2 linked regions of the Coturnix japonica genome follow. The protein of the gene in region 1 interacts with the protein of each later gene in a biochemical or structural test. Links are inferred from orthologs where the notes say so. Each region holds a gene or a part of one and is shown in the gene's direction. Other genes may lie near its edges.

Evidence for each region.
Region 2: the proteins of PAX3 (region 1) and SOX10 form a complex in vitro, tested with the Homo sapiens proteins (2 studies listed by BioGRID and IntAct). The link is inferred for Coturnix japonica from reciprocal best matches to the Homo sapiens genes PAX3 and SOX10.

The regions. Positions count from the first base shown.
Region 1 is NC_029524.1:6,485,354-6,488,365, reverse strand, and holds the end of PAX3 (paired box protein Pax-3), read left to right. Parts: coding exon 1-139; intron 140-657; coding exon 658-692; 3' UTR 693-2,256; downstream 2,257-3,012. UniProt on the Homo sapiens protein: Transcription factor that may regulate cell proliferation, migration and apoptosis. Involved in neural development and myogenesis. Transcriptional activator of MITF, acting synergistically with SOX10.
Region 2 is NC_029516.1:46,583,792-46,587,690, forward strand, and holds the start of SOX10 (transcription factor SOX-10), read left to right. Parts: upstream 1-991; 5' UTR 992-1,805; coding exon 1,806-2,098; intron 2,099-3,186; coding exon 3,187-3,615; intron 3,616-3,899. UniProt on the Homo sapiens protein: Transcription factor that plays a central role in developing and mature glia.

The DNA.
Region 1 (3,012 bases):
AGCTGCAGTCAGCGGCTAGATCACATGAAGAGTTTAGACAGCCTGCCTACATCCCAGTCCTACTGCCCTCCAACCTACAGCACCACTGGCTACAGCATGGACCCCGTCACGGGCTACCAGTATGGACAATACGGACAAAGTGAGTACTGCAACGCCATAGTCATTGATCAATTGTATGTGTTTTTGTCTGCAACAAAGAAAATTACAGGAATAGATCCTAATGGCTGACTGCTACTACTCTCCAAAATCGAGTGGAGTGCACTGGTGAGATAGCTGTAGGTTGGAGCAAGAATTCTGCTGCATAATTATTTTCTTAAGTGATGTCAACAACATCTTGATGTTATTAATTGTTGAGACATGAAACCTGATTGCCATTAGGTAAAACATAAGGGTTGTCCAAATCGAAATAACCACTGGCATTCCATTATTAGAAACACATGTTCTTAATGAGGTCAGCTCAAGAATCATTACAGTATATAATCCCAGATACGTAGAGTTTTGTCAAACTTGTCCCAGGAATAAAAATATTAGTCTTTTTCCTTTGATATATCAATATTAAATATGACAATGTCAACCTGTAGTTGGCATGGCCCCATGCTGCGAGGTTGTCACAGCGTGACTTAAAAAGCTTCTTTTGTTGTTTTTTTTCTATTGCAGGTGCCTTTCATTATCTGAAGCCAGATATTGCATAAATGAACTGTCCACTTCAAGTTAAAGCTGGTGTTATTTTCCGGTCTCGCTCCAGAGCTTGGATACCAGGGATCTTCTCAACACACTGCAGTCTAAACCGGGGCAATCCCAATGAGAGGAGCAGGATTGTCCCGCTCTCTCCAGTCATAGCATTTAGTAGACTTCTGAAGACTGAACAAAGCTATACAGAAGACAGAGGCCAAAAGCAATAATGAATAAATAAATGCGACATGGTTCATTATGAGTGGGTATACAAAACAGAGCAGAACTTAATATTGCTGCCTGGCAAAACATTCCGTTTTTTTTTTTGTTGTTGTTGTTGAAATTAATGTGCATTGATTGGGACAAATGGAACATGTTGAAATTTAGCAGTTGAGCTCTGCATACTCTGACTCATCTGGCGTCCAGTGCTGACTTTAGTCTAACGTTAAAGCTGCCCAGTTTCTGAAGCATGGGCAGCAGAACCTCTTTTGTTACACACTGGAAATGGCCATCAAGAGGAAATGTCACAGTCTATAGGAAGCTAGGATAAATGCAAAAGACTTCCAGAGCAACTTACTGGTTATCTTACCATGCTTCTGTAATCATGTTGTCAATAAATGCCACTTATGAGTTTTGCTTTACCGAGAGACAAGATCTCATGTAACATGAAAAATACATTTTATCTTTTTATGTGGAGTTTTCCTGGTCCATTGTACCTTTTTGAACAAACTTGGAGGGAAAAAAAAACCCAACGTGACTGATTTTTTCACAACTGCCTAGCAATGTGCAATACTGTGTACCTCACACAGGCTTTGGAATCATCCAAAGTCATATAGATAGAATCAGAACTATATTTTTGCAGGTACTTTTATTTTTGCAGTGCATAATTCCTAATGATCAAATACAGAAATGTTGCAGTTGCTGGACAGCTAAAATCCAGCTGCTAATCATGATTTAAAGGTCATTTGCAGGAAACAGTAAGAAAAAATGATTACGTTTACATTTTCTAGTGATGTACGGGACATGAACAGAGATGGACCTGTACAGAACACAGTCGTTTAAATTATACAGTGATATCCGATATAGAAGATAATTATAGGAGCCAAGGTTTACAAGAAGTTTGCATTGTGACATTTTAGAATGTCAATAAATTTGTGTTTTGTGATGTTGAGAGGAAGATGGAAGACGGTGTTATTTATTTCTCTCTATTCTTTGAACAAAGAGAGAGGCAGAACACAAATACATTCCTTTTAGTGTTAAGGACAATGAAGTAGTGCATTAGACTAGATTCAGTACGGAGGTTAGTTCGCACATTGGTCTTAAGGGAGAGGGAAAAACGAAATCTCTTTGTGTTGCAGCCTCTACCAACAGCGTGTTGTAAAAAAAACAAATGAACAAAACAACAAAAACAAAAAAATGTCTTTCATGTAAAAAGTTCAGTAAATATTTACTATTTATAATGAATAAACAGTTATGAAGCCTTGCAAAGCACTGATGATTTTGTCCTAAAATGTAGTATTGTGCTAAATACATTGATACATTTTAATCTGAATATCATGAAGAAATAAACCATGTTATCTTCAACTCAAGGTGTATTCCTTATGTTAGTGTCTTCTGCACGCAATCTAGAGCAGCAGTAGCCTTGGGCAGCCTCTGTGCTCAGGCACTGCTTGTACGCTGCTCAGAGGTCTGGGTTTGTCTTTTTTCAAGCACTGTTAGCACTGTATGTCTTCCCAACAGCAAAAGCCTCATGTCTTTGCTGTGCGTTTGAAGGGCTTAAACTCAGTGCAAGTAGGTCAGCTATGATGGTTTCACACAGCGCTAGAACTCTAATGAGTAATGGCTCATGGGCAGCTTCTGTACTGGTTATTTTTTCATCCTTCGTACTGGTTATTTTTGCATTCTTAAAGGCCTCGGGAATTTGTTTACAGGGTTAAGAAAAGGCAACTGGGGGAAAGACTTCCAGACAACTGGAATACGTTTCAGTGGCACACCAGTTCTAGAGGGTTGGTGGGCATTTAATTTCCTCACTGCTTTGTGGGGGAACTGGCTACCTTGAAATGTTCAGCTCTTATGTACTCATTTAATTTTTGTTTTTATTTCATTGTTTGGAAAAAAAGCGCTGTCTTATCAGCTGGAAAATGAAATAATAACATTTTTGAGAGGAAGGCATTTAAAAATGCTGAAATATGGAGAGTTTCCTTTCTAGATTATATTTCTCTGGTACACTTTTAATATCTGTGATAATTAAAAATTACGTCTCCTTTTAATAACAATTTCCTTCTCTAAGATTCCCATTTTTTCTGATGTTCTGTTTTCCATTGCCTTTCCCTTCCTGAG
Region 2 (3,899 bases), on another chromosome or scaffold:
CTCTCTCCTTCTTCTCTCCTCCTCTCTCTCCTACCCCTTCTTCTCTCTCCTCTTCTCCCCTCTCCTCTTTTGTGTCTTTGTCTTTTTGCCTCAGCTGAACAGAAGCATCACACCTCTTCCCACTGTTGTAGAGGTATGTTCTGCCACAGCTTGCTCTCCTGTGTCTGTTTTCATAGCAAAAGGAAAGAGATGAATCATGGATGGAAGAGAATTCAAAAAAGGTCTCATACATCAAGGCAGGGATGTAAGAGCTCCTGTCCCTGGTGGAGAAGGAGAGCAGTGGGGCCAACAGTGATTCAGAGCCCTGTGGGTTACTGAAGTCCCTTCCTGGCTTGCTCTTGTTCTTGCCACAGTTGGGAGTTGGAGGATCAGACATCCTTCTGCTCACTTAGACCCTGGAGACATGGAGGAAACCCCAAACTCTACCACTTGCTATCTTGCTGGAGTTAAGCATAGACTCATTCTCCCTGTAGATGCCACAAGTTCGGTGGCTTCTTTGATTCTGCATCCAGTGGACCATTGACATCATTTCGTTTGGAAGCTGGGGTCTTTCTTGGTGGGAGAGATTGTCCCATTCCATAAGGCTTGAGGCTCTTTCTCCAGTTGCTGCTTTGGTCAAGGAAGCATGGCATCGATCCTGGATTCCGAGCATGTTAGCTCAGATGTTCAGCACCATCCTTGGGATTGATTCCCTTATGTTTCAAACAGTGCCAGACAGGGATTTTGTGGGGTGTTACACTGAATCATAAATCACTGAGATTGGAAAAGACCTCTAAGACCAGCTAGACCAAATGTCAGCCCATCCCTACCATGGCCACCAATTACATCCTACTGTGCCACATCCACACAGTTCTTGAACACTTCCAGGGACTGTGACTCCACCACCTCCCAGGGCAGCACCATTCTTTCTACCATAAAGATTCTGGAAAGTAAAGATCTGTTACAGAAGCTAAAAATGTTCTTGAAATCCTTTGAACTTTGTTCCCTGGGTCACAGTCATTCACCTCCTTGCATTTTCTTGCTTCTCACCTTCAGGTTGGCTCTCCAGCAAAGAGCTGGGATTCAGGAGGATCTGGGAAGATTATCAGAATTCCATGGGTGATCTCTCATGGTTACAGGACTGGCACTTCTCTTTGACATCCCCAATGAGAAGGGAAAGTGAAGAAGCCAACAACCACATGCATCTGGGAAGGAAAGCAAGCTAGAAAATGGAAGAATTGGTGGGAACAATCTGCAATCTGTTGTGTGATTAGAGCCTGCATGTGTTCCAGTGCATGAGCAGCAAGGAGTGAATGACTATGAGATAGTCCTCATATGTGAGAAGACCTCACACTTGCCTTCAGGAGCAATTCAACACATCCAAGGAAGTTCTGTCTGGTCATCTTGGTGAGAGTTCACAGAGATGGAGACATTGTGAGGACCCCATCTTCAGGGTGTAAGAGTGCTAAGTGGGTTCAAGAAGGCATGACTTGCTCTGCAGACTGCTCATATGGACTTAATGTCCTCCATCCTCAGGATGCTCCTGACCTCTTGCATCCCCTTCTCCACACTCAGGATGCTCTTTTTGCAGCATCTTAACTCCATTATCCTGGGCCAGATTGTTGCAGTGCACTGGGGTCCCCACTGGACTCCATGATGGGGATCAGGACATGTTGGGAATGTGGATACCACAAGCATGTCAGTGGTAGCAGGGGTAAAGAAGGGGAGCCCAGCCCTGAGTTGCATTACTTCACATCCCTCCCTGTGCCCAGTAACTCCAATACCCTGGGGGTGAGCTCTCTATCCCCATTGGGAGTAAGCAGGGAATGCTGAGTTGGGGTAGGGGGCTGCAGCATCCCCTCCCCACCAGCCCTGACTGTGTCCTGGCTCTGAGCAACACTTGGCTCCACCTTCCACCCTTCCCTCCCCCAGTGCTAAGCAGCAAAGCCAGCAAGAGGCATCCAGCCGGGGCATTAGTAAAAACCAAGCCTCCCTCCAGGAATGGCACTTGCCTGAGCACCTCCCCGGCAGCACGCCCCACAGCCGGAGGGAGAACAGGGGGGCACTGGGACAGGAGCTGCAGCCTTCACAGGGTTTGCTGCCCGCACCAGCCAGCAACGTAAGTTTTCTTACCTGAGCTCACTGGCATGCACATTTATTTTTCATACTTTCTGCCACTTTTTCAATTTCCCCAGCGTAGATTTCATGTCATCCCCTGAAAGCGGGGTGACAGCAGCCTTTGCTCCGCATTGACTTTTGCAGCTAAACAAGAGGCATGCTTTTCTGTAACTTCCTATTTTTTTCTTTCTTTCTTTCCTCCTTTTAACTTCTTTCTAGGGGAGAGATGTTGGTGGGGTGGGGGGGGAGGGCTTTATTTTTAGAGCATTTCTTTTTCCAATCAGGGGACAGTGATGCTGTGGCAGGGACTTACAGAGGTGACTGCAGGCAGTGAGATATGAGGGTTGCACAGGGCAGGCAGTTCAGGTCCTGGGTTTCTCTTCAAGTTGAACTATGTGTGTGTTTGCATCTGGATATGTAGGTGCATATGTATATGTGTATGTGTGTTTATATGTACATATACAAGGACGTGTTTGGGGACATGGAGCGGGTGTGATTTAGGTCTTTGATCCAAGAGCAGCAAGCAGTGGCCAAGCGGTAGGGTGTCACATTGGCACTTTCTCCTACTGCCCCTGGGGCTCTGGAGGTGGCCAGGAGATGGGAGATCTTTGTTTTATCCTCCATGGAGATCTGCAAGCAGGCAGGATGCTCTATGCTCCCTTCTATGGGGTCCCCAGAACCCCTTGTCCTTCATGGTCTAGAGCGATTTCAGGCATGGGTTGACGGTTGGATTAGGTGATCCTAGTGGTCACTCCAACCTTAATGATTCTATGATTCCATAATTCCTTAGCACAGCTGGGCAGCTGCCATAGTCCCCTCTGCACATGCCAGTTTGGGACATTTGCAGAGATAAGAGCTCCCGATGGGTCAGGGCCCCGATCCATCCCCACCCCCATCGATCACGGGTTTTGTGGTGTGCACAGCTATTGCTTTGCTTGCGCTTTTATCAAGCAGCCCCTGTCTCGTGGTCTGCTCTTCGGAGTGTGGAGTCCCAGTCGGATTTGGTGGTTGCTTTTCCTTTTCTCTATTTTCCTTCTTCTTTTTTTCCTTCCTTTCCTTTGTTTTTCTCTTCCTCCCTTTCCTCCCCAGTGAGAAGAAGAAAGTGACCATGGCTGATGAGCAAGACCTGTCAGAGGTGGAAATGAGCCCAGTGGGTTCTGAAGACCACCACTGCCTCTCACCAGGACCATCCATGGCATCGGACAGCTCTCCACACCTTGCGGGCTCTGGGAATGGAGAGATGGGCAAGGTCAAGAAGGAGCAGCAAGACTCGGAGGCGGATGATGACAAGTTCCCTGTCTGCATCCGTGAAGCGGTCAGCCAGGTGCTGAGCGGCTATGACTGGACCCTGGTACCCATGCCTGTTCGAGTCAATGGAAGTAACAAGAGCAAACCCCACGTCAAAAGGCCCATGAATGCCTTCATGGTCTGGGCACAGGCTGCCCGGAGGAAACTGGCTGACCAGTACCCGCACCTCCACAACGCTGAGCTCAGTAAGACCCTAGGGAAGCTCTGGAGGTAAGAGCGGGCGCGTGAAGGTGTCCTGATGCTCAGGAGGAAAGATGGAGATGGGGAGGGTGGAGGGGGTGTCTCTTGTGCCACTGCTTCCTTGCTGTAAGATGCCCACGGGAGGCACTGCCAGAAGCTAGGAGAATGGGGAAGTGTTCTATACCTCATATATGTAGTGAAAGCTTCCTCAGCAGAGCTCATCTCCATCCCAAGTGAAGCCCGCACTTTTCTTTTTCACCTGTTTCCCTCTGATTTTCCCTGTTGTTCCTGACCAAGACACTTATCCTTGTCTG